4 linked regions of the Saccharomyces cerevisiae S288C genome follow. The gene in region 1 interacts genetically with each later gene. Each region holds a gene or a part of one and is shown in the gene's direction. Other genes may lie near its edges. The genes, in order: AIM26, VAN1, PSP2 and APS3.

What was found.
Region 2: mutations in AIM26 (region 1) and VAN1 together harm fitness more than expected from each alone (negative genetic interaction), as found in Saccharomyces cerevisiae (one large-scale study listed by BioGRID).
Region 3: mutations in AIM26 (region 1) and PSP2 together harm fitness more than expected from each alone (negative genetic interaction), as found in Saccharomyces cerevisiae (one large-scale study listed by BioGRID).
Region 4: mutations in AIM26 (region 1) and APS3 together harm fitness more than expected from each alone (negative genetic interaction), as found in Saccharomyces cerevisiae (one large-scale study listed by BioGRID).

Annotation. Positions count from the first base shown.
Region 1 is NC_001143.9:362,629-370,221, forward strand, and holds AIM26 (Aim26p), read left to right. Parts: upstream 1-6,736; coding exon 6,737-7,093; downstream 7,094-7,593. Other genes in the region: PTM1 (Ptm1p), read left to right, coding at 1-1,565; RGT1 (Rgt1p), read left to right, coding at 2,977-6,489; UGP1 (UTP glucose-1-phosphate uridylyltransferase), read left to right, coding at 7,263-7,593. UniProt on the Saccharomyces cerevisiae protein: Involved in selective mitochondria autophagy (mitophagy).
Region 2 is NC_001145.3:37,720-46,713, reverse strand, and holds VAN1 (Van1p), read left to right. Parts: upstream 1-4,919; coding exon 4,920-6,527; downstream 6,528-8,994. Other genes in the region: CTK3 (Ctk3p), read right to left, coding at 761-1,651; DAT1 (Dat1p), read right to left, coding at 1,923-2,669; TAF8 (Taf8p), read left to right, coding at 3,139-4,671; ATR1 (borate transporter), read right to left, coding at 6,890-8,518. UniProt on the Saccharomyces cerevisiae protein: Involved in regulation of the phosphorylation of a number of proteins, some of which appear to be important in cell growth control.
Region 3 is NC_001145.3:234,829-243,619, forward strand, and holds PSP2 (Psp2p), read left to right. Parts: upstream 1-1,759; coding exon 1,760-1,763; intron 1,764-2,125; coding exon 2,126-3,903; downstream 3,904-8,791. Other genes in the region: YML018C (uncharacterized protein), read right to left, coding at 1-1,124; PPZ1 (salt homeostasis regulator), read right to left, coding at 4,630-6,708; TATA-binding protein-associated factor TAF11, read right to left, coding at 7,161-8,201; TRM9 (tRNA (carboxymethyluridine(34)-5-O)-methyltransferase), read left to right, coding at 8,397-8,791. UniProt on the Saccharomyces cerevisiae protein: DNA polymerase alpha mutation suppressor. Suppressor of group II intron splicing defects of a mutation in MRS2. May play a role in mitochondrial mRNA splicing.
Region 4 is NC_001142.9:395,431-398,110, reverse strand, and holds APS3 (Aps3p), read left to right. Parts: upstream 1-1,518; coding exon 1,519-1,540; intron 1,541-1,617; coding exon 1,618-2,180; downstream 2,181-2,680. Other genes in the region: PET130 (Pet130p), read left to right, coding at 1-756; RRN7 (Rrn7p), read right to left, coding at 2,600-2,680. UniProt on the Saccharomyces cerevisiae protein: Part of the AP-3 complex, an adaptor-related complex which is not clathrin-associated. The complex is associated with the Golgi region as well as more peripheral structures.

The DNA of each region.
Region 1 (7,593 bases):
TATATCAGTTTTGCCGACCTTTCCAATTATTCACCTGCTTCTTATGCTACCTTCTAGTGTTCGTAAAAGCTAACAAGGAAAAGATAAGTCAAAAGAATTATCAAGTATGCGCAGGTATGTATTCCAAAGAAGATTGGAAGGGCAAAATAGACCCGTTTATATCATTCAATCTTAAAAAAATAAGTGGATTGAGTGATGAGTCTGATCCAGGCTTAGTCGTTGCAATCTATGATTTCCAAGACTTTGAGCACTTAGGTGTGCAATTGCCGGATGAAGAAATGTATTATATTTGTGATGATTATGCAATTGATATCGGGATTTGTGAAGAGGAGAATCGTGATGAGTTTATTGTTCAAGATGTTGTATATGATCCATATACTTCCACAAATAGATCTTTGGCCAATCCAATCATGACGTTTTCTCAAAATGAGGTCGGCCTTCATGATACTAGATACCCAATAAAAGAAACCGGATTTTATTGTGTTACTGCGTTCAGATCATCGACGTCTACCAAGTTCAACGCTGTGGTGAATTTCAGGAATGCTTATGGTCAGCTTGCGGGCACCGAGATCAACAAATTGCCACTATATGGTCTTTTGGCGGTCGCATACGTTGTGGCGATGGCGTTATATTCCTTCGCCTTCTGGAAGCACAAGCATGAATTGTTACCATTACAAAAGTATTTGCTGGCCTTTTTTGTATTTTTAACCGCAGAAACCATATTTGTATGGGCTTACTATGATTTGAAAAATGAAAAAGGTGATACTGCGGGAATAAAAGTTTATATGGTGTTCTTGTCGATATTGACGGCTGGTAAAGTTACATTTTCATTTTTCCTATTATTGATTATCGCTTTGGGCTACGGTATCGTGTACCCTAAGTTGAATAAAACGTTGATGAGGCGTTGCCAAATGTATGGTGCGTTAACTTATGCAATTTGCATTGGATTTTTGATCCAAAGTTATTTGACCGACATGGAGGCACCATCTCCACTAATCTTGATCACCTTGATTCCTATGGCGCTTGCATTAATCATATTTTACTACATGATTATTAGATCCATGACAAAAACAGTTATCTATTTGAAAGAGCAAAGGCAGATCGTAAAATTGAACATGTACAAGAAGCTACTATACATCATTTATGCGTCCTTTTTGAGTGTACTAGCTGGTAGTATAGTTTCGTCATTTATTTACGTTGGCATGAACACTATTGATATGATTGAGAAGAACTGGAGGTCAAGGTTCTTCGTTACTGATTTCTGGCCTACGTTAGTGTATTTCATTGTTTTCGTTACCATCGCGTTCTTATGGAGACCAACAGATACTTCATACATGCTAGCCGCATCCCAACAACTACCCACAGACCCAGAAAATGTCGCGGACTTTGACTTGGGCGATTTGCAATCGTTTGACGATCAAGATGACGCAAGTATCATCACTGGTGAGCGTGGCATAGACGAGGATGACCTCAATTTGAATTTTACTGATGATGAAGAAGGACACGATAATGTAAATAACCATAGCCAAGGCCACGGGCCAGTGTCTCCCTCTCCAACAAAATAACGCTACCTCCAGCAGATTTGATTAGGTGATGAGACAAATAGTTTCTTCGAGGGCAGTCACGAAATGTTTACAAGCGAAAAGAAAGAAATTATGAACCATATGCACTTCTGTTCAATGCGATGTGAATATGAATATGAATATAAATATGAATATAAATAAATAAATAAATAAATGCGTTGCACGTTTCTTTTCATTTATTTGTGCGTGCTTTTACCTGTTTATAACTGTAGTCACCAAAGCTATGCTATACTCTAGACCTAACTTTTTCGTTTTGTATTTATTTAGCCGCTCGCTGGAGTTTTTTTTTTTTCGGTGATAAGATGATTTATATCAAACCGAAACAAGCGAAAAGTTTCTGTTCATCGACTATAAAATGGAAGAGAAAATTGGTCCATAGACTTTTCATGTGTACTTGTTTATGAGAAGAGACGCAGGAAGACCAGAAGTGAGGAATTCCCTTTGTTCAAGGATGAACAACGAAGCCAGATAACGTAAGGTTGCGCGCTGCATCAGTGCTAACCTTATTAGCTTTCTCTGGCTTTTTCGGTCTTTCCTATGTAACATAACATGTATATTCTATTTGTTTATGATGAGACCACGTCCTTAGTGACAATGCTATAAACCCAGCTCTTCGATTCGTTTTTAATGAAAGGGAGAAGATTTTTTTGTCAAACGCTCTGAGTAATAGAATATACATGCGACAACATTTGTAGTTACTTGTCTTACGCTTCCTAGGGAACGGATCATCCGAGTAGAATATCATTTTACGGGATCACTTTATTCGGTGTGATTGCTCGTTAAGCCGCACGACCATTTTATGGGCACGCTTCCGCAAGTTGGTTCTTTCATCAGAAGCTTTACCACGATTGGCAAGTCATGTAGCATGTGCGCTAACATCGTTTATCGTTTTCTGTGACGTGGCTTATGAGCACCAGAGACGAATAATCAACAGTACATCAAACAAAAGCTACGTCACCTCACCAATAATCCGAGCTTCTTGAAATGGCAGGTATTGGATTCATAAAATATGTCGCTGCTTTGTGCATTTTCCTTTAGTTTTTTCCTTTTTTTTCATGTAGCTAACTAAGCAAGACGATTATGGGAAGGGACCTTTTAAGGAAAAACAGGAAAAAAAAATAGTAGCAACTAGTAAAAATTCAAAAAATAAAAAAAGTCAAAATAAGAACACATCAGTTAGGAACCGTGCTTGGAGTTTTGAGACTGGAGTATTGTCCATCCAACATATTCTGCTCTTTCACCATAGACTTCGTTGGAAATCGCCTCTCCCTTGTACTATATTGTGCAGAACCGTTCCCGCAATTTTCATTGGTGCAATAATAACACGCTTCTTCGATTCTCACATTTGTCAAGAAGCTGTACTCTTCTCTCAAACTCCAATATATTTCAAATTATGAACGAGCTGAACACTGTTTCGACTAACTCCAGTGACTCCACCAAGAACGGTGGTACATCCAATAGTCCCGACGATATGGACTCCGCAGCAGCAGCAAGTCACGCAATAAAGAAAAGAACAAAGGCCTCCCGGGCCTGCGATCAGTGTCGTAAAAAGAAGATTAAATGTGACTACAAAGATGAAAAGGGGGTCTGCTCAAACTGCCAAAGGAATGGAGACCGTTGTAGTTTTGATAGGGTTCCTTTGAAAAGGGGACCCTCGAAAGGCTATACGAGGAGCACCAGCCATCCAAGGACTAACGAAATACAAGACCACAATAACTCAAGGTCGTATAATACGTTTGATAATAGTAACAATACCCTGAATAATAATACGGGCAATAGCGGCGACAACGGTATAAACAGTAACACAGTTCCAAGTACCCCTTCGAGATCTAATTCAGTTTTATTGCCCCCACTGACACAGTACATTCCCCAGGCTGGTGGCATTCCTCCTAGTTTCCAAAATCCAGCGATACAATCAACTATGCCCGCGGGTAATATTGGCCAACAGCAGTTTTGGAAAGTGCCCTACCATGAGTTTCAACACCAAAGAAAAGGATCTATCGATTCTTTGCAAAGTGATATATCGGTAAGAACATTAAATCCCAACGAGCAGTTGTCTTATAACACCGTTCAACAGTCTCCCATAACGAATAAACATACTAATGATTCTGGAAATGCAAACGGAAGTGTCACCGGCTCAGGCAGTGCCTCTGGTAGTGGTGGTTATTGGTCCTTTATAAGAACTTCTGGTTTACTAGCTCCTACTGATGATCATAATGGGGAACAGACAAGAAGATCAAGTTCCATACCTTCTTTGCTACGAAATACTTCAAATTCTCTTTTACTAGGTGGCCAGCCTCAGCTTCCCCCACCTCAGCAACAATCGCAGCCACAAGCACACCAACAAAAGTTGCAACAAGGACAGAACCTATACTCGTATTCTCAATTTTCCCAGCAGCAACCGTACAACCCATCGATATCATCTTTTGGCCAGTTCGCTGCTAATGGTTTTCATTCTAGACAAGGATCAGTCGCCAGCGAGGCTATGTCTCCCAGTGCACCTGCCATGTTTACTAGCACATCTACAAACCCCGTAAATGTTGCACAGCAAACACAAAGACCTCAAGGACAGCAGGTACCGCAATTTTCATCTGAGTTGGATGGAAATAAAAGGCGACAATCAGCCCCCGTATCAGTAACATTATCCACGGACAGGCTGAATGGTAATGAGAATAATAATGGTGAAATTAACAACAATAATGGCAGCAATAATAGCGGTTCTTCTAAGGATACATCTCAACATTCCCAAGAATCTGTAACTACACCAGCGGCTTTGGAAGCATCCAGCCCTGGATCAACGCCACAGAGAAGTACAAAAAAACGCAGAAAAAGTTACGTATCTAAGAAGACAAAACCAAAGAGAGATTCATCTATATCTATAACATCGAAAGATTCTGCTCACCCAATGACCACTTCATCAACTATCGCGTATGGACAGATATCCGATGTAGATCTAATAGACACCTACTATGAGTTCATACATGTAGGATTTCCGATCATACCTTTAAACAAAACGACCTTGACCAGTGACTTATTGTTAGTTAACACACAGCCAATTTCCAATATACACGAAGTCAATTCATATGTTATTTTGTGGTTTAGAAATTCATTGGAATTGTTAGTTCGTGTTGCTCTGAAACAAAAGCCAGGTGGCAAGTTTTTCGATAATATTGTTGGCGTGGCTTTGTCGCCAAGTAATGACAACAACAAAGCTGGGTTCACTACAGCCACGGCAAGGGATGATGCTGAAAAAACAAGACGTGATTCACATAATGAAGTACAGGATACTTTGGAAGTGCAAAGCGTTTTTATTGCCGCCCTCAATGAATGTTTCCAAAAAATCGTGGATATTCATCCCAAATTCAGAGAAAACAACGACCAAATTTCGCCGAAGATCAAAGTCATTTATTTATCTACTTTTATTCTTTTAAATTACATTTTGGCATTTGTTGGATACGATAACTCATTTGTACTTGGAATGTCGGTGACAATTTTTAACGAATTTAAATTATACAAACTTCTATTATTTCCGGAGCCGGATATAAATGATGTGAAGCCTCCAGTTGATGAAGAGGTCAGCACTGGTAATGGGAATACAAAAACGTCCGAATTTGAAATTGGATCTGAAAGTGCTGGGCATATGAATCCATCCAATTCACCAAATTCCATGGACGAAAACATTAGTCACTATTCAGTGTTGTTTAAAAGATTATACGTTTTGCTTTCAGTGTTTGATTCTTTACAAAGCTGTGCATTCGGTGGTCCCAAGCTATTAAACATTTCCATCCAAGGTTCTACAGAAAGATTTTTTTCTAATGATTTGGGCTCAAAATGGTGCCTGGAACAAAGCCAATTGAGACTGAAAAGCGTCTTGCAAAGCTTGAAATTGGGTGAATTGATGAGTGAGCTTACCAGGAATAGAATATCAATGAACGGCAATAGGAAGCCTGGGTTCGATATTACGAACTCGTCTTCACTCTTATCGGAATATGTGGAAACTCAACCTCTATCCGTAGCACAGTTATTTTGCAAGCTATTAATTGGCAAACACAATTTCATCAATTGCTTATTATCATTATACGATTCAGAAGCAGGAGTCTATTCAGATTTGACATTGGATTTGAGTTCGAAAATAGCAGACTCTCTGTGCTCATTGATATCAATAATTTTGCAAGTATTGACGTTGATATTAAGACTGAATCCTACGAACAGTATTGATTTTAATTATAGACCACCGAACCCACCCGCTAATAATCCGACAGTGCAAGAGGGCCCATCTGCTATGGGCTCGTCTCCAGTCGCTGGGAACCTTAGCGCTGCACCTCCATCGGAGGGGAATCCAGATTTTTACAAGAAATTACTAGGCCTGAAACAAGACACTGGCACTATCCTTTCAGACCTTTGCCGGGGGATAATTTCCCCCTTTGCTATTGCTATCCTGCACGAGGTCTACAACATCACTGAACTGGTCAAGCAGATGCCTACATCACTCATTAGCATTATGATGACGGCAACTACAACGCAGAATACTCAGGACACCAAGAAGTCGCAGGACCTGGTCATGAAGCTGTCAAACTCGATGAATGAAGTAGTTCAAATCACCAGCGTGCTGACAATGATCAAGCCATTCAAGATCTTCGAGCACGAGCTTAATAAGCCCATAATGTCCCTGACAGGAGGACTTTCGTCCACGACCAGAAACGACGTCATGTGGCCAAAGTCGGGCCAAGGCCTCCGCGAGTCATCAGTCATGAAGACATTGCTTGATGAACGCCGTACTTCTGGTACACAACCGACAACGGCGCCAGTAGCCGCAGAGGAACCCAGGCTTGAGAACGTTGCCCTGGAAAATTTCGTTAGTATCGGCTGGAAGCTGTTGGACGATTCCGAGTTAGGCTGGTATTGACAGGTAACTATGCTCCCTTCTCCTGTAGGTCAGGTTCTCCCTTCTCCTCAGGCAGAAATTCGCGTAAAGAACTACCATGCAATGAATGACCAATTTAAGTAAAACACATAAATAATACTTACTTACACATATACACACTAGCTGTTTTAACCTGTAACAATACTGCCTTGTCAGAGTGCGCACGGCCTTTTACTCTGGTGCTCCACCATCTTCCACGGTATTCGAGAGTCGCCAAGCTCAGGGGCGCATGCAGACAATGGGCGGGGAGCACCTTCTTCTTTCACAGCTAAAGGGGTCTTTCTTTCTCCTACTTTTGGCATACTTTTTCAGGGGCAGAAGTCCTTATTACGCACGTTGCTACCGCCGGCTTGCTGTTACACCTGGTGCCATCACTATTGCCATTGCCATTGCTACAGATTCAATTCCGGCGCTTGCAAAGTCCAAAGTTCTGGTGTCGGTTTGTTCTCACACAGATCCCTGTACAGCGTCTTGTAACCTGATCCCCTTCCCCCGCCCCTTCTCGAACAGCCTGACGCGCTTCCTCTTTTGTTTGGGCTCGGCCCGTTTTTGCATTTCCTTTCCCTGTTTTGGATTGAGTATATAAATCTAAACAAACAACAAAGTTCTTCCAGCAGGTACCATGAGATTGAAGTTACGGTTTTAGGAGTTGGAGATTCAATTTCTGGTTCTTTCCACATCAGCAACGTTAAAAGGCCTAGTCCTCTTCCGATTATATAATATAACTTCCACAGCAAGTGTACCATAACATAATAATGTCCACTAAGAAGCACACCAAAACACATTCCACTTATGCATTCGAGAGCAACACAAACAGCGTTGCTGCCTCACAAATGAGAAACGCCTTAAACAAGTTGGCGGACTCTAGTAAACTTGACGATGCTGCTCGCGCTAAGTTTGAGAACGAACTGGATTCGTTTTTCACGCTTTTCAGGAGATATTTGGTAGAGAAGTCTTCTAGAACCACCTTGGAATGGGACAAGATCAAGTCTCCCAACCCGGATGAAGTGGTTAAGTATGAAATTATTTCTCAGCAGCCCGAGAATGTCTCAAACCTTTCCAAATTGGCTGTTTTGAAGTTGAACG
Region 2 (8,994 bases), on another chromosome or scaffold:
AAATCACCAAAAGAGAAATGCAAAGAGCCTAGACTACCAGGAACAGGGCGAGCAATGGCGGGGCGACTATAAATATACGAACAGGAAAAGGCGAAAAACCGGTGCCGTATATACATAAAAAAATGATAACGCTTCAACGTGCAAAGGAACCGTCACACATTTTTGATGTGAAAGAAGTAATATTCTTGGCACTTTTCTATCGTGGACCTCTCTGTGAACGAATGCTCTTCCTCTGCTCAGTCCTTTCCAGCTTGTAACTAGACAAATTCCCCGCGGTTCTTTATGATCTTTAAGCTCGAACCACAAGGCAACAATGAACCTTCTCAAATTTTAAATTCGCTTATGTAGCAACCATATCAGCCCGAATGTAAATTCATTTGTGTAGAAATGCGGCGTAAAACCATCGAATGAAGGGAGTAGTCTAACATGGTATTTTCCTTGGCTTGTTTTAAGTCTCGTCAAACTCCTCTTTTGTGTGTTTTCAGCAATAGGCTACGGCCAGGTCCACAGAAATTGACTGTTTTATACTCAACAACACACTCTGCAAACCGTGTTAAGTTTATTCGTCTGCACATGTTGAGGACTACAATAAAAGTAACTTAGAGGAAAATTAGCCGCCGTTTCACCTTGAATAGTTTGCTTTTCCTGAAATCGAGATAAGAAAAAGACAAGTTCATTTTGTACGCGCATTGATACGTATATACGTATATATAATACAGATACGGATTCTCTTCACAGATATATATATAACGTCATGGTACTAATATATGTAAGATGCCTTCGCAATGTCATTTAAAGCCTTGATATTTTTGTAATCGTCCTTATCAAATCCGGAATCAGTAGTTTCAAAATGCGTCCACAAGCTTTTAAATTCGGATTCATCCAGTATATCGTTGGAGGGCCTTTCGATGTACCAACTTGTCTCTTTCGACCTCTTGTGCAGTTCCCTGTCTGCTTCCATCCTGTGCAACAAAATGTTTGCATTGGTTGGCTGCGTCTGTAAGTCCGGGTTGATCGCAGTTGTATCGGAATTGAACTGCTGAAAGAAAGCCAATTTCTTCAAGTCTCTGTCCTTAAGCAGAGACTCCGTTCGTTGCAATGATTCTTTATAGTCCTTTGTAGTCCTCTCTGTCTTGACACTGTACCAGGTAGTAGCGTCTATGAGTGTGGTGTCTGATGGTGTGTGCGTGACGCTGGTGGCGTCGTAATGGATTAGTTTGGATAAGTCAAGGAATAGCTCTTTACAGGTGGCTTGATTCGTGAGGGATTTCCAGTCCTGGCAGGGCAGACAAAGCTCAAAAACCAAGTCTATGTCCATGAGTAGCACTTCGTTTAACACTTTTGTAACATTGGTATTGGAATGGCTATGCGGATATAAGTTTCTTATTATTCTAACATAGTATATCACTACGTCCAGTCTATCTAGTGGGTCCATCTTCATGGTTGTATCGAACAAACATTGGTGGAAGTCCTCGTAGTGATGTCTGTAGTTTCTCAAGTAGAACTGTATAGGGTCATTGTTCAGCTTTTGTTGCGATGACGGTGGTGTGGTGGTCGACGATGATGTGATAGAGTCTCTGGTCTTGTGCAGCGTCTTTTGCAGGTTCTTCAGGACCTGAATGAATTGTAATCTAGCTTCAAGAGAGTCCATCCTTGCTGTATACCTTTACCTGGCAGTGCTTTTGTGAGAAATTAACTACCATCTGGTATTCTTTTTCCTTTTCTTTCTAAAATTCTAGTTTTTCATGTTGTGCTTAATTAGGAAAAACAGTGAATTTGAACAGTTGCTGAAGTTGAGATCAGTCTTAAATATACATTGCTCAAAGAAGTACAAATACATATAAATATAAATATCTATGGTTTTCTCAACTAGTTATTATGTGGCATATACGAATGTTTTAGTGGTATGCTGGAAATGAATGTCATATGGTTGCGTTTTTCTCTGTAGAATCGGAATTCTTAGTGATATGTGCTGCCGGCGATGGTTGCGTCCGTGGCTGATTTGATGCTGCTGTGCTTGTGGACAGATCAAGATATGGTTTCACAATGAAAGGCCGCTGTAAGTAGTTGTAGGGCCCCATCAGGAAAGAAGATGACGGGTCTTGATTGCTCCCATTTATAGTAAAGTTCATGTTCACGTTCACGTTGCTGTTAAGGTTGTGGTTTGAATTATGATTAATGCTGTGGTCGGCGTTGTAATTTGAATTCACGTGGCCGCCAGAGTTTCCCGTTGAAGATAACAGGATCTTGTGGGTGATGAACGGCTTGGGCGGAACGACGTCCACTCTCTGTTGCTGTAGTAGTTGTTGCTGCTGCTGCTGCTGCTGTTGTTGTTGTTGATCCATGAATGACTGATGGGTATAATCCAGAGATGGAGGCAATGAAGTTGACGCCGCTGCTGCATGCGGCGGTGGTGCTGCTGATGAATTATGAGCTGAGTGAGACGACGGGCTGTGCGTCAACTCTCTCAGTGCGTCCACAGCTTCCATGTCCCTGGAACTAATAAGACGCGACTCCTGATCTTGCTGAGACCCGTCGGTCTCTTTACCCCCAGTATCTTGCCTCCTCCTCCTACCACTGCCAGGCTTTCTTCCCTCTCTCAACGTCTTCCCTTTTCCGGGCTTTCTGCCGCTTCCAGGTTTCCTTCCTTGTGCCAAAGTTTTCGCCATCACCCAATGTCCTGCTCCAATATACTTTAGGACAGTTTGTAGATTCACAAGGTGATCTGTTCAAAAACTCCACTGACAATAATAGAAATTTTTTTTTTTTCATTTTCTTTCAAAACTCATCACCAAAAAAAAAAAATTGATGCATTAGCATCGGCTTCATAAACGAAAAAAAAAAAAAGAAGTTGAAAAGAAAACATGATATAAATAGTTGCAAACTAAAGTAAGATAACTGAAGATGATTAGTCCTGTTTGCATACATAGTTCTGTTCTTGTTCTACGCTGATGCGATCAATAAAGTCGCTTGAAACGCGACTGGTAGAAGCCAGCTTAAGCACAAATGGTGTATATGGGAGTGTTACCCGATGCTTTTATGTAGAAAATCTTGAACTCTTTAAAAAAGAGAGTAAAAGCAATGGAGAGAGAGGCAAGCAAGCAAACAAACGTGTAATTGAGGGACTCATAAAGGGCAATGACTTCCAAAACGTCAGAAAGTGGTACCGGTACCCAAAGTACCATAGTTCAGCTGAGGAACCTACCGGATTTGACGGAAATTAGTCACTTGGAAATAGATGCTCCCGTAGTTGAAATTCTAAAGAAAACAGTACTTTTCCAGTTGAATTCGTTGAACATCTGCATTTCAAACTTTGCATTGGATGAGCTGGTCAACCTCGTGACCGTCCAAATGGACGGCATGTTTCGGAACCTGCACAATTTAACACTTTTACAAAGAAGGTCGCAAGCTTCTCAAGCAGATTTGAAATTGTTGCTTCGAGAGTTTAACCTGGATGCGCCCTCCCTTTATCAGCAGTTTCAGGCCTCAGAATTCATCAAATCGAAGCATTCCACGGAATATGAAAAATTGATGAGCTGGTCGTCTCTTGCTGCTTTACCGCATAACGAAGAAGATGAAGAGGACGAATTGAATAATATCGAGGAGCAACAGAACGAGATCAACGTTTTGCTGCCTCCCTCTAACCCACTGGAAAAACAGATACCGAGTTGGCTGCCCAACTTTCCGCCTGACCATACCTATAAGTTTACACCTGAGTTCAACCATCCAATTACTGATCTAAAAACCATCAAGAAAGAAATAGTAAAAGAAAGCCAAGAGTCTGAAAAGGCACTATTGAACTTGAACAAAAGTCTCTCCCACATATCATCAGCGTCAAATACCCCGCAACCGCCGGGTTTAGACGATGAGGACGCTATCGAGCAACAATTGGAGATTTGGGGCAACGCGCTGGAAGAAAGGAAACCAACCATAACTGAAAAGTCCTTCAATGAAAACAATATCGAGCAGTATGCGAAGTATAGAGTGGAATTGGCGAGAGAACGTGTCACGAAATTTGAAGTGAATCAGTTGAAAAGAACAAAAAATCCATTCTTGAAAATTTCTGAAACTCTCTACCTTCCAGAGAGTCCTCACCAGTCTCACAAAACCATACAAAAAACCATAGAATTGCAATTTCGTAAGTCTATGACACTATTCATGCACAATTTACCTAAGGTCCAGAAGTTGAAGAAGGAAAAAATACGAATGGCCAAGGAAGAAAGAGCAAAATCGCTAAAACGTCGGCAAGAAGAGCTTATTTCACAACGAACAAAGAGGGAACAAGATGAAGGCCATGATCTTGAGCTTCTACTAAATAACGAGCACGCAAGGGACGCTGCAGACGACACGACCACCCCTAATGCATTAAACAACTCTACCATAGTTATCAACACAAACGCCGAGGATGAGGACGATGACATAAACTTATTTGGCATCTTAGGGAGCAGTGAAGATGAGAATGAAATGTCGAGTATGCCTGCGGAGAACCTGGTCGCGGAATCGGAACCGCCAACAATGACAGCGCAAGATACTACAAATACTACACCTGTAGCACATAACACAACCAATATCGATGCTACTACAAGTCACTCTCCTCATTCGACGCCTAATGAAAACGCCCCGACATCTCCTCCTGCAGATATAGCCACAGATCACGATATAACTATGTAAACAACTGCTTTCAGTGAACCAGTGTTTGTCCCTAATATAATAATACGTATTCAATTTATCTCCGGAGAGGAATTTTTTTTTTTTTTTTTTTTCGTTCTTCGGCGACTATACCGAAACAAGGCTTGAAATATTTAGAATCAAAGAAAGTTTACGTCTTGTAAATTAGTAAATGGTAACGTGAAAGAAGTAGACGTAAGGGTGCAGTAACAGTCATTTGAGCTTGTTGACCTACCAATTAACACAAAAAAATGGGCATGTTTTTTAATTTAAGGTCAAATATAAAGAAGAAAGCCATGGACAATGGACTAAGCCTGCCCATTTCAAGGAACGGTAGCTCGAACAACATCAAGGACAAACGCTCAGAGCATAACTCCAACTCATTAAAGGGCAAATACAGGTACCAGCCGCGCTCCACACCGTCTAAATTCCAGCTTACGGTGAGTATCACATCTCTTATTATTATCGCCGTTCTGTCGTTATATCTCTTTATATCATTTCTCTCCGGAATGGGCATTGGTGTATCCACGCAAAATGGTAGGTCGTTGTTGGGTTCCTCAAAATCCTCCGAAAATTACAAGACTATCGACCTAGAAGATGAAGAATATTACGACTATGATTTTGAGGATATCGATCCTGAAGTGATTTCAAAATTTGATGATGGTGTGCAACATTATCTAATATCACAATTTGGTTCAGAAGTGTTGACTCCCAAGGATGATGAAAAATACCAAAGGGAACTCAACATGCTTTTTGATTCCACTGTTGAGGAGTACGACCTGTCGAATTTTGAAGGTGCTCCGAATGGATTGGAAACACGTGATCACATTCTTTTATGCATTCCACTAAGAAACGCTGCGGATGTATTGCCATTAATGTTCAAGCATTTAATGAACCTAACCTATCCACACGAGCTGATTGATCTGGCCTTTTTAGTCAGTGATTGCTCAGAAGGTGACACTACGTTGGATGCTTTAATAGCGTATTCTAGGCACTTACAAAATGGCACGTTGTCTCAGATTTTTCAAGAGATTGACGCTGTCATTGATTCGCAAACAAAAGGCACCGATAAATTATATCTTAAATATATGGACGAAGGTTATATCAACCGTGTCCACCAGGCATTTTCACCACCATTCCATGAAAATTATGACAAGCCATTTAGATCAGTACAAATTTTCCAAAAGGATTTTGGCCAAGTAATTGGACAAGGTTTTAGTGACAGACATGCCGTTAAGGTTCAAGGTATAAGACGAAAACTAATGGGGAGGGCAAGAAATTGGTTAACTGCCAATGCTTTGAAACCTTACCACTCATGGGTTTATTGGAGAGATGCTGATGTAGAGCTGTGCCCTGGTTCAGTCATTCAAGATTTGATGAGCAAAAACTACGATGTTATCGTCCCTAACGTTTGGAGACCACTACCTACATTTTTGGGAACTGAACAACCATATGATTTGAATTCTTGGATGGAATCTCAGGAGGCACTAGCATTGGCAAAGACTCTTGACGAAGATGATGTTATTGTAGAAGGCTATGCAGAATATCCTACGTGGAGAGTTCACTTAGCCTATATCAGAGATGCAGAAGGTGATCCAAATGAAGCGGTGGACTTGGACGGTGTAGGGGGAGTTTCTATTTTGGCGAAGGCCAAAATATTTAGAAACGGGGTACAGTTTCCTGCATTTACTTTTGAAAATCATGCAGAAACAGAAGCATTTGGTAAAATGGCAAAGAAAATGGGGTACAGGGTTGGTGGTTTACCGCATTATACTATTTGGCATATTTATGAACCGAGCGATGACGATTTGAAGGAAATTGCGTCAAGGGAAAGAGAGAAGAGAAGACAATCAGAGTAAGAATCATGATGACATTTAATATTAATTTAATTTAATTTAATTTTTTGTTTTGTTTTATTTCGTTTTGTTTTTTTGTTCGGTATTGATTTTTCTTCTTTTAATCCTCTTCAATGGATTGAAAAATATATATTATGTAGAGTAAATAAAAGACCTCTTAAGGATAAGGGGTAACCTGGGATCTGGTTACAGTTCAAGGCTTCGTTATTAGGGAGCGAACAATAAAGATTAAAGGGTACTAAAAATTGTACTATTACTAGTTGCATGTTGAGATATGAAGACTTTCAGTGTCTAAATGCCCCATGTCTATATAATCGCATGACAGCGGTGTATTTCTATCTATTTACCTTAATAACCGCTTTCCGCTAAGCCACAGTGCAATCGTATTCTGCAGCAGCTCTTGCCCTGCGGCCTTTTATGAAGCTTTCGACCATGTAAAGCCCGCTAATCATGCATGCTAAACTTGCCAATCCTATCCCAAGGTACTGAGCACCTCTATAGCCTTTCAAAAGATGCTTTCCGTCTGAATTGACCTGTGTCTCTACTGTGGCACCCATACCGAGACACAAGGACATGGAGTAATTGACAACAGTATTCACCAATGACCCAGCCATGCCTTGGTACTCCATCGGTAAATTATCACTAAAGATAATGGAAGAAGCAGGAAATGAAAGATCCATCCCAAAACTTAAAATTATCATCGTTCCTAACTGAGTACGAAAGTATGTCTCGTGAACCGGTGTAACACTTGCCATTATTGAGCCCACATTGAATGCTACCATAGAAAAGAACAAAAACACTGATGGAGACACATTCTTGATAGTAAATCCTACCAGTAAGGCGGCAATAATACCCCAAATTAAAAACATAAAGTAAGTTCCACCAGCCCATAATGCCGTGTACTGCCTTATATTTAATTGAAATTGGAAATAATAAAACGTAAAGATGCCAAAAGAGCCCCATCCAAAGAATAAAGCCAGCATAATTTGAATCATATGACGATCCTTTATAACTGCGCGCGGCAATAGTGGAGTCTTGGCAAATCGAATCTCATAAATGATGAAAACGACAAGAAAAATCACAGAAATGATTAAAATTACGATGATGTAAGCCTGGTTCCAACCCGATATAGGAGCTTGGTTCCACACAAAATTTAATAAAATGAGACCTATCACGCCCAAAACAGAACCAATCCAATCCATAGAAAAATGATGAATATTTGTTGGTATAGTACTCGGAATGGCATATATGGAGAGCACAAAATTAATGAAAGCGGCTATGCTATACGCGTAGAATGCCCATGGCCATTGTTTTGGGTCCTCGGTACCGATCAGTCCTGCAAAAAGACAACCTAAAGTTGCTCCAATAGGGGCCATCGCACCAACAAAACTAATCACGATGTTTTTACGAAAAGTACCACCTACATATATATTACCAATTATTCCCAGCACATTAGGTAAAACAAATGCAATCCCTAGCCCTTGGAAGGCTCTACTAATAATAAAAAAAGTATCGCTACCAGAATACTTGGTAATCCCACAAATCAAAGACCATATAATAACCAGAACATATCCTACTAACAACATTTTTTTTAATCCGTATATGTCACCTAGTCTGCCACTAATCAAAATAAATGAGCCTGAAACTAGCGGAAAAGATGCCATCAGCCATGACTTTGAGTTTCCTTCTGAGCCAAAACTGTCCGAAAGAATATTCATGATCGAAAGAGTCTGTGTAGTGCCTGCTTGATTTAGAAGCTGACTTATCATGCATGTGAATATAAAAAGATATTCTTGCCATGCATATTTAAAATAGTTTGGGTTCTGCCATTTCTGATTGCTATCTACCATTTCATCTTCAGACTGCGTAAAAGCTGTTGCTGTTAAAGATTCTCCGATATTATTATCTCGTGACGATTTTTTAACAGGTAGTTCTGTCTCATTCTCATACTCACCCTTACTTTCCGTAAGCACAACTAATGACTGATTGCCCATTATTATTACCTGTTTGAGATTCTCTAATTGCCTCTCTTTTTACAATCGTACACTTTGAAAATGTTGTTTTAAACTTAGAATATGCATTTTATTCATTTTATAAAAACGTCTCATTCTTCAGACGTTTATAAACAACTGTAATAGTGTCAACTTTTATATAAAGGTCATCTTACCTGAAAAGTGTAAGTTCTGAAGGTAGAGAAGAGGTCAAGGCAGACAGGATCCTGCGGCTTGACGTCGTCGCTAACGAAACGAAGTAGAAAAAAATTAACAGGTTTGAGTCAGAGAAAATTATCGTTCCACATTGGTGACTCGGTCATTAAGACAACAAGTGCCGGCAATAAATCGCTTACGTAATCTGTGGCAGAATGAACAGGTTAGGTGCATAATACCGCCATTCCATTAGTAATCACTATATTATTTAGTTTATACAAAGAAATCGGAGAAAAAAAGGGAGAAACACCTTGGCAGGCCGC
Region 3 (8,791 bases), on another chromosome or scaffold:
TCAAAATGTTCCTCCTCAGAGCTTTTGTTAATGATGAAAAATGAGCCTAAGATGAGGGTAGCACCAAATAAATAGAGCGCAGACATGGTTTTGTGCTTAAAGATTACATCACCAAACATTGCTAGGGGTATCGTTATGCTCAATCCTACGGTGACGGTTAAAGGACTCGTTAGTAACATAGCCTTTGCCCAACAAAAGTCGCTAACAAATGTGATGAGACAATTGACGAAGATTATTACCACAACTTTAGGATCTTTGGGCAGAGAGAATGGTTCCCAGCCAAAAAAGTCCAATACAATCAGTGATGGCCATAGAAAAAGTAAATTAAAGAGACCAACAAAGCCAAAAAAAATCTTCATGTTAACACGAGTCTCATCTCCGACTTCTCTCTTCAATAAAGTACTGTAGACACCGTAAAGTACAGCACCTGCAAGTGCCAACAAGTTGCCTATCAGAACTTGCACGGCATCGTTATCATCACCACTAACGTCCGCGATATGGCGTTGGTAGCGCTGATGAGAATCTGATTTGGTGACCATGATTATGCCTACAAAGGAAATGAACGACCCGAGTACTTTGGACTTGCTCAACGATTCAACATGACAAATAGCACCTATGAACAAGGTGAAAAAGGAAGAAGTAGTGGAGAGGATTGTCTGCGATGCCACCGATGTGAATGCCAGCGAGGCATTGGTCACAAGGTTAGCTGTGAACCAAAGTATGCAGAACTCAGCACTTAACTTGATTGTTTCATATAACGTTAGCCTCTTCTTTTGGTTGGCATGCGTGCCTGCTTCAAGGTTTGTAAGCAGTGGGCTAGTCATATCAACCGAGCGATTGCTATCACTACCAGTACCTTCTTCCTCCATAATTAGTTCGCGGTGAACGTTTGCACGGCCTGTGTCCTTGTAATTCACCACAACGGCCTTTGCAGTTGGAAAAAGATAAAAGATAAAGGCGGCAGTATTGGTGTACGTGATAAAGAATGGTTTTCTATACGAGTCATCCTCGAAGATCAAATTTATCAGGAAGGACGATAAAACCCACAAAATAATGACTAGACCCAACATCAGAAGACCCAAGGTCCACCTCTTATTAAAGGACGTTTGATCCTTCGACACCATGGCTCTGTTGAACTTTTATCTGAGAGAGGAAAAAAAGGAAGGAAAAAAAAGAAGAAACTTCCTTTATTTATTTGTCTTAACCACAACACACAATGCAATAAGATGCAATATAATATCAAAGCCAATATCTTATGTTGCTGATCCTGAGAAGGAATATATACAATTTATGTAGTAAAATACCTTTTCTTCTGCGAGTTGCAAGAAATAGAAAAGACTCCGATTGCGCATCGCCAGAATAAAATTTCACAACCACACTTTTTGGCTGAACTTTTTATTACCTGATTAAACAGAGAGAGAAAAGGTAGAGGTCAAAATTTTTTAAGCAAAACTAAAAAAGATGCAAAATCACGTGCTGAAAATCTAACATAAGGGTTAAGATTAGAGTTTTATAGGACTTGTTTTGTAATATTTCAAATACGAGCTAACCCTACTGATTTCAATTAGGTCTAATTTAGGGTTGAGCTGCACTGAAATTTCGGAAATTTTGGGTTATTTTAAATGAGACAGAAGAACTACAGAGATACGTTCTTCAGACTTTAAAGCTTATCTCCACAAAGAATTGGTCAAGAAATCATCCTAGAAAAACACGTTTGCTCACTCGATCTTAATCACATAGAGTGCTGGAACGGGAAGAAATGGGTATGTGCCTCGGTTTTTCTCATTAACCCCTTTTGATCCATAACGGTCCTCTTTTGTTTCCTTTTTTTTTTTTGTTTTAGTATTTTATGTTTACTATTTTCTTCTGTTTCAGTCATACGTAGGAATTATTGCATGAAAGAGGATATAATATTCATGTGGATTTTTAAGAAAATAGATCAAGTTTAAATAGCCACTAACAATTGAACAATGCTCTCTCTTGGCCTCTTTTCTTCTTTTTTATCGTTTCTCTAAAAATCAAGCTGATTAGACATGGTCTTGCAATGTTTTTGCTTTCTCTAATCAGCTTGGTTTTCCGCAAAGAAGAGAAAGTCACGGAATTGTCTACATATGTTTCTATTCAGGAACAAATAATACATCTAATAATAATGGCACTACGAAGAAAATGTCCCTAGAAGAATTTCTAGGGAACGACACTTTAGGCGAGTCAGTATGGGATGAGGAAGATATTAATTTGGATGCTATAAGCAATACTACGAATATTGACATCTTGAAACAAACCAAGGCAGGCGAACATCAACGTGATGGTCACCAACAGCACCCACACGGTGGTCATGGACCCATGAACAGATCACGTTTTTCTAATGCAGGGCCTTTTGGTGGTGGTAGCATGGGGGACTTTGCAAATCATCACCACCCGCTGCAGCATCAGCAAGGTCCTCCTTATATTGTGAAGTTTTCTGATTTACCACCGAGATTTTCCAACTTTGACATTGAAGATCTTTTTCAAGCAAAGTTTACCAAGTTTATTAAGTTCAAACTGTTTTGGGAGATAAATAAAAATCCAAGTATTTCTACTTTGAAATCGGGGTCAATCTTTGATCAAAATTTCAAACGTGACTCGAAGGTAGCATTTGTCGAGTTATATACATCCCGTGATATGGACAAAATTTTGAACTATTGGACCACTCCTTTGAAGGAAATTTACCACATTACAACAGCGCCCGCAGAATTCGAAGATTTTAAGGATTACAGCACGAAGGTGAAATTATTAACAGACCCTAAAGACGATGCTGGCAAACCATTCATTACTAAGACTCAGCGGTCAAAATCCAATCCTTTTGGAAGTGCTAAACCGGTTGATACGCAATCGAAGATTTTGGACATTGAAGAAAAAATGGAAAATTTACACGTGGAAGATACAACAACCCTGAGGGCATCATTAATCCCTAGTAGTGATTCTATGGCAACCACTGCAACAGGCAGCAAGATCACAATCTTGAAAAAGCAGACACCTACAGAGGAGGAATCACATTCTGCAACCCCAACTCCCAAACCTTTAAGTTACTCTGAAGTAGTTGAGAGATCTGTGGTCAATGAAACTTCCAAGAAAGGAACTCCATTAAGCAAGCTTGACTCACCAGCTCTTGAACTACAATCTAAGCCCGATAAATCGGACGAGTTCAAAGGTGGCGATGAACAAGGCTTTGAGAAAGGTGGCGACGATAAAGCTCAATTAGATGTCTCAAATGATAAAGATAAAGGTTCAGAAACCGATGTTGATAAACAGTTCACTTTCAAGAATGTGGAAAGGGAACATAGTATGAGCAGAACCAAATATAACGGAAACCATAATAACAATAATGGCAATTTTAGAGGGAGTAATAGATATCGTGGAGGCCCCAATGGCAGCAGTTATAAAGGTGGGCATAACAATCGTGGTAATCGCGGCGGATATCGTGGTGGCAGCTCATACAACAACAACAACAACAACACTAATGATAATAATAATAATAATAATAATAGTAGTAGTAATAATAATAACGGTTCAAGATATCATGATCGACAAAACAATGAAGAAGGGTTAACCTCGGATTCATCTTTAGATGCCTCAGGAAATAAAAAGAATGATTTCACGAACTCAACATCCAATACACAACAATATTCCATTTTCAAACCAGCAAGTGGGTTCCTTGGCCAAGGTAATAATGATTCTATAAGGAACAATGGACGCGGTAACTATAACAGCAGCGGTATGAATGGAGGTTCGAGAGGAAGAGGATTTGGCAGAGGAAGGGGATTTGGCAGAGGCGCATATAACAATCGAGGTAGTCGTGGTGGACGTGGAAGCAGCGGTAACTACTCCAACTACAATAACAGAACAACAGACATGCCTTTATGAGTCATGTACTGACCCATTAATTTTCTTTTCTCTTTTTTTTTTTTTTTTTTTTTTTTCCTCTATTTCCTTTTTTTGTTCTAGTCGGTTACGCAGTTCTGAGTAATGTAATATAGCGTTCCTTTTCCTCTCAGATTTTTTTGACCTTATTTTGTTTCCACTTTTTACTACTTATGCTGCTTTTTGTCCATTTCCCCTTCAGTTGTTTTGAATTTTTTTTTTAAAAAAAATTCGTCTTTCTGATTAATCAATTTTGATTATATATTTTCTCTTGATTAGTTCACAATTTTTATAGGCCCTTATTTCTTAAAGAAGTTTTATGAAGTTTCGTAAGTATTGGGGGGGTTGAAAATAATCTCTCACGTTATACGCAATAAAAAATTAAAATTAAGGAGAACCAATCTATAGAAACGAACCATTGAATTTAGCTATATGACTATATACCATTACGTAATTTATATAAACAGCTTAATATAGCGAAAGCAAAGTAGAACGAAATTTCGGAGAGTTCTAGATTGTATAGAGCGAATGAGCATTCAATACACACGCGAAGGCAGTAGGCGATGAAAGGAAGTTTTTTAATGTCATTAAGAAAAAGATAGGGAACTTCTATTTCCTGTCTTTCATATATATATATATATATATATATATATATATGTGCATATGTACATCGTTGAGTTGTTCATGAAATAATGAATATAATACTTCTGGATTTTTTAGTCAGTAAATTTACTGTTGAGATTCGTTATCATTTGTGATGCTTGTTTCCATCATTTGCTGTTGTTGATTAGCCAGTTTTCTTTCCTGTCTACCTTTCTTCATAACTTGCTTCAAAGCTGCACTATCTAGTGGATCTAACAATTCAAAAGAGCACAATAAACCTTCGCTGACGCTCATTACAGCCCCCCAATTATCAAATTCACCACAATAATTTGGCGCGGAAAACACCGTAACGAGACTTCTATCATTGAAAAATTCATAACCGTCTTCCACAACCATGTGAGCTCTACAAACCAAATCAAACCCAAACTTGTTCAAGAATTTGTTAATTGCCACCTTATTATAACAGTAACTTACACCACGTTCGTTATCCTCCCATTCGTTGGGTGAATCTGTGGGATCGGACCACAAAAGATCATTAATTAAGCCAAAATCTGGTACATCAGTAGGCCTAACTACATGTCTGATTTCATCCATAGAATTTAAAACTGGCGACAATCCACCATGAACACAAAAAATCTTTCCGGCTACGATAGCAGCTAATGGTAATGTATTAAAAGTATCGATGAATGTCTTCCAGATCTTGATGTTACAACGACGTTTACATTCATCATAAAATCCATAAACCCTTGTGACGTTAGCACATTCATGGTTGCCTCTCAATAAAAAGAAATTTTCAGGGTATTTTATTTTGTAACAAAACAATAGTAAAATAGTCTCCAGTGACTGTTTACCACGGTCCACATAATCACCTAGGAATAAATAGTTCGAGGATGGTGGGAACCCACATTTGGTAAAAAGCCTTAAGAGATCCCCATATTGGCCATGAACGTCGCCTACAATTTTTACAGGAGGTGATAATTCTAATAAGGAAGGTTGAGAAAGAAAGATTTCACGAGCCTTGATGCAAATCTGTAAAATTTCATTGTTCTTCAAACAAACATTTTTTGTTCTCTTAGCAGCGTAGCCCGCATCCAGTAATTTTTGGATAGTTTCATCAATATCGATAGGCTTTTTGAATTTTTTTGGAGCGTTTTTGTTTCCGGAAGATTGCATTATATCATTAAATTCCTCATTCGGATCTTTTTTGCTATCTGTTATATTATTATTTTTATCATTAACATTTTCCATTGATGCATGGATATTACTCAATTGAGATGAATTTTCAATGTCATCATCATTGCTGATGTGTTTGCTCGGGTAAATATCGCGACTTGAATGGTGATTCAATGAGGAGGTTGAATTAGAGGTAAAGTATTCACCAGAGTGATCTGTTAGCTTGGACAAGCCTGGAGAGTTTAATGGGGTGCTGTATGCGGTATTACCATCTGATCCAAACGAAGATTTCCTACTGTGTAGCGAAGATGCATGAGAATTTGACCGGGTTAATGCCTGAACGAGATAATTCTCCTGATTGTTAGAGGAGTATGATCCATTGTTAGGCTCTTCATGGGTCACATCTGATTTCCTTCTTGACACTGATCCGCTTCTTATACTGGACGGACGAGAATTCGAAGATCTAGAAAACCTTTTAGTGTGCGAGATGTCGTTGTCTTTATCATCATTGTCATCATCGGTTAAGGCGTTCTCATAATAGGTAGATGAGTATGAAGATTTATGCTTGGATACGTGTGTGCTACTATTGTTTGTTTTTAAAATGGGTGACTTGGGTTCCATTTGGATCATTGAAGGTGGTAAATCAGCAGCAGCCTTAGTATTATAACTTGATCTTCTAGAAGTAGAAGGCCTCTTAGTAGAGGATGATGAAGGAGTAGTTAACAATTCGTTTTGAGAATTTGAATGCGAGTGTGAGCTAGATGGGAAATGGTAACGATTCGTGTGAGAGCTATGTCGTTGGTGATTAACCTCAAGATTGGGCTTTGATGGAGTGGAGGGATCAGGGACGTTTGAATTAGTATTCGTAGTGGACGAAGAAGGAAGAGATCGCCTTGATCTTGAAGATTTATTTGATTTTGCAGACTTCACAGAATGGGAAGTCTCGGTTCTCGACACTTGAGGACGAGGATTTCTCGAGGAGGAATTCGAATGTGAATCCTTTTTCGAAGATTTTGAACTTGAATTACCCATTTTGAAAAGGAAGGAAAGATAAGCAGAGAGTGGTTGATTTGTTGTTTTATGACAAAGCCTCTAGGGGAAAAGAAGCGACTATAACGATGAAATAAAAATAAAACGATAAAGAAAAGTATAATCAAATGTATTCCAAAGAAGTACTTTTATATATAATCTTTATATTTAACTTGAAAGAAAAAGATTTAACATGTATTGCCAAAACAAACAAAACTAATAATGGAAGCTATTGTATTGTGCTTTTATGTTACCCACCTGCCAATGGTTCACAAGAGAAAGCTGATTAACAGAATTAGAAGATCTGCAGTAATCGTTTTCTTTTTTTTTTTTTCATTAATTTATATGCTATCCTTTTAAAAATAGACATGTCATTTCAAACGACATGTTAAAAATTATATATATGTTTATATATAGATTGATATATGTTGGAGCCGTTGGACAATTATGGGCAGCTATCTGAACATGGATCCCTGCCCTTCTCCTTGAGTTCTCCAGTAAGCGTTAGGCAAAGTGTCCGACTGCAGACGGTAGAGTCTCCACGCCTCACGGATGTGTTCGGGCAATAAGGGACTGTTGTTATATTTCTCGATGCTTACATCTAGTTTGTTGAATTGGAGGACGAGCTTATTGTACTGCTCGATGAGTTGTAGCTTCAAGTCCTGTGAATTATGGTCTGATTGCTGTAAGGATTTGGACTGTAGCAACGAGTTGCCCAGCGTAGTTTCGCGCTTGTCTACTTCTTCATCGTCGAAGTAGAAATCAGGTTCGTCTTCGGGAACGCTATCGGATTGATAATCTTGCTTGTATTGCTGGTTTTCTATGATGGAGAAAGTCAATTTTTTTAGATATTTTTTCAATTTATAGCCTATTTTGGTCCTCTTATCAAACTCTATGCACATTTGACTTGTCAACCACTTATTCTTCACAATCATGGCCAATTCGATTATCTCACCAGCGTATATTTTTCCCACCGCTTGCAGAAAAACACGAATATTTTCACTTATAGTTTGATTAGCTACTGTGCTAGCCAGTTTTTTGACCTGGGTTTTGTTTAGGGATGTTCTATGGAAAACTTCAAACCGATTAGTTTGATCTTTATCCAAGTTGGTTACCAAGAGCTTGAATTGTTCGTCCTGCGCAAGTTTTTCATTTTCATCTTCGTTGGTATTGGTGTCTTCGTAATTGCTATTTTGTGTTTGCTGTTGTAAAATGTCTTGTGGAAAGATCAGGTTTTCTGGGACTTTGTTGATAGAGTCCGGGTCTTGCTGATTTATCCTGGTTTTCTGGTATTTGTATTTTGGATATTTATTTAATTGGTTGTTGATTGATGTACCACCCGTTCGCAGGTTTTGCAATTTCCACGTAACGTAGTCCTGGTCCTCACTGATGACTTGGTCAATCATTTGTTTTGTGGAAAAATAGTTTGCTATTGTCAGTATTGGCGGATAGTTCACTTTCGGGATGGTGTCCAAAGGACCTTGAGGTTCGGTCATCGTTGCGCTGTTGAAGCTCAAACTTACTTTGTGCTCTTCATTTATATGGATAATTATCTCTATATACCTCTTCTTGATTTTTCAATTTCTTTCAACTTTTCAGTCGAAGAAATGGGAATAAGAGAAAAAATTCGGTAATGAACTGAACAGAGATGAGGTCTCGAAGAGCCAAGAAATAAAAGGTTAAGAACCAACATGGAGATAAACCAAGCGGCTGAAAAAGAACAGGAGTATGTTCACAAAGTGTATAATGAGATAGCTCCGCATTTCTCGCAAACTAGATATAAGCCATGGCCCATAGTGACTCAGTTCTTGAAGACTCGCCCAATGGGTTCCATCGGTATCGACGTCGGGTGTGGCAATGGAAAGTACCTCGGAGTGAACCCTGATATATATATTATCGGTTCAGATCGCTCAGATGGTCTTATTGAGTGCGCCAGAGGAATAAACCCATCGTACAACTTACTGGTGGCAGACGGGCTGAACTTACCACACAAAAACGAAACATTTGACTTCGCCATCTCAATTGCTGTAGTGCATCACTGGTCTACAAGGGAGAGACGTGTTGAGGTGATCAGGCACGTTCTATC
Region 4 (2,680 bases), on another chromosome or scaffold:
ATCCAAGCCTATGTGACGATTGGAAAAAAATTTTCCCCTAACTCATTGGTATACACTAGTAGATTCTTTCAACTTCATTACTTCCCTGAAGACCATTTTATGTCTTGTTTTAGAAAAAGTAAACCAGCAATAACGGTAAAATCCAATAAGAAGTTTTATTTAAATGGGAAGGTTTTCAACAAGGACAAAGAATATTTCAATGAAACTAGGATATCAAAAGCTAATGAAGTCGAACTAAGCAAAATTCAAACAGCGATGACACGGCTTACAAATAGACATAGAAACAGTATTCCCTCTGAATTTGCGTACTTGAGACGAGATTTAAAATTAAAGGTGAAAACAACGTTTATCAAGGAGTGGTGTAAACTAAATGGTGATAAGGCCATTCGAGAGTACGTTAATCTTAACAGATCTCCAAATATTAATCCTGCTAGCATGAAGGGCAAGCCAAAGAAAAGTTTTTTAGATAACCTTGGTAGAAGTACTGTGGGAACCGCAAAGGACGGCTATTATTTATACATTGTTAGCATATTTCCTGATAAAGATATGTTAGGAGAATTTAATGACGAGGTCAATAGAAGCGTTCAAAAGGTTGCCAATTTGGATTGGGATGGGTTCTTGACCCCAAAAAAAGGCACGAAAGGCAAAAATTGGGTAGAATCGTTCAATGACAGTATAAACGTTCAAACAATTAACAAGATACTCGAGATCAACAAGTTTCCATTTGAATTAAGAAGAGAACAAACAGAAGGCTGAGAAATGGGCCAACCATGCATCTCTCTTGCTGTCCACTATGTATCTACATATACGTTTTAAATATTTATCATCGAATGTGCAAATACAAGAACGTCACTTTCGAGTCTAAGTGGTTGTCACTCATGTTTCGTGATAAAAGAAATATTTACAACCCGGGATTTTGAACCGTTGCATGGTCATACTCGAGGAGTATTAGAATCAAGCCATTATGATCTGCTATATATCTTAATGGTAAGATCACAATATAAATGGATAGCAATAACTTTTGAGTATGAGGAGTTCCACTTTCATAAATGTTATAGATATGGAAAGCTTACGCTGATGTAAGTAATGAGTAATCACAAAACGAGGTAAGAAAGGCCAAGCGAAAATAAAGTCATATATTTTAGGCAAAAAAAAAAAGTCTCAAGTAATTCTCTATAAGGCAATAAAAAAATAGTTCTCATTCAGTCTTTTTTCTTTCTTTTTGAATACGATGGCTCGATTAAGGTTCTTCATTTCAAAAAATATCTTGCTTATTAATATTGAGTATGAATGAAAGATTCATATCAAAAGTAAGCGCAAGTGGTTTAGTGGTAAAATCCAACGTTGCCATCGTTGGGCCCCCGGTTCGATTCCGGGCTTGCGCATTTCTTTTTTATATTTCTTCTCTTACGTTGTAGGAGTATATTTTTTTTAAATAGTCCACTGGAACAATATCATTTCTGTTGTAACTATACCAGATCTGGGTTACAGAGGCCAGAACACATATAACGTTACACAATGATTCATGCAGTTCTAATATGTATGTAAGATTTCTCAAGGGTCTTTTCTTCTGCCAAAATTATACATTACTAACATAATTCATCATTTTTGGTATAGTCAATAAGAAATGCCAACCAAGATTAGTGAAATTCTACACGCCGGTCGACCTTCCAAAGCAAAAACTGCTATTAGAGCAAGTATATGAATTGATTTCTCAAAGGAATAGCGATTTTCAAAGTTCTTTTTTAGTCACGCCACCATCGCTTCTGTTAAGCAATGAAAATAATAATGATGAGGTAAACAATGAAGATATTCAAATCATCTATAAAAACTACGCTACACTATATTTCACTTTCATCGTGGATGATCAAGAATCAGAACTGGCCATATTAGATCTGATCCAAACTTTTGTGGAATCATTGGACCGTTGTTTTACTGAAGTCAATGAACTTGATTTGATTTTTAACTGGCAAACTTTGGAAAGTGTATTAGAAGAAATCGTGCAGGGGGGCATGGTCATTGAAACAAATGTGAACAGAATAGTTGCTTCTGTTGACGAACTCAACAAAGCTGCCGAGTCCACAGATAGTAAAATTGGAAGACTAACGTCCACTGGATTTGGAAGCGCACTACAAGCGTTTGCTCAAGGCGGATTTGCACAATGGGCAACGGGGCAATAAACAAACAAATTAATCGGATGATGGTTATTTTCGTTCGTCAAGATCTGCACGTAAAACCGGCTTGAAGAAAATTAGCTGAGCCGGGCATTTCCCAGCTTTTTTAATATATAATACAAAATTAGGCACCCTCCCTTTAAAATTCTGTTTAAAACTAGATCTGGTCATAAAACATAGATAATATTGTACGTACAATATGGTCACACCGTTAGGAAAAGTAAGATCTCGCTGTGTCTAGAGAATGAGTTTTCTTTCTTTTTGACAGGAAAAAAATAAGTTCTGATAATGTAAAAGTTATAGAAACAATGTAAAATAGGATACATTTCTATATTAATATGTACCTATAATATATGCAGATTGGTATATGTAATTCAAGGAGTATGCATAGAAATAGCAATCCAGCGAGAATAATTTAAAAGGAGTCAATTCATCCTATGCAGACAGGCATTTTTGATCCTTGAAATGCAGTCTTTCAGTTGCTCTTTAGAAATGGCAAAATCCAC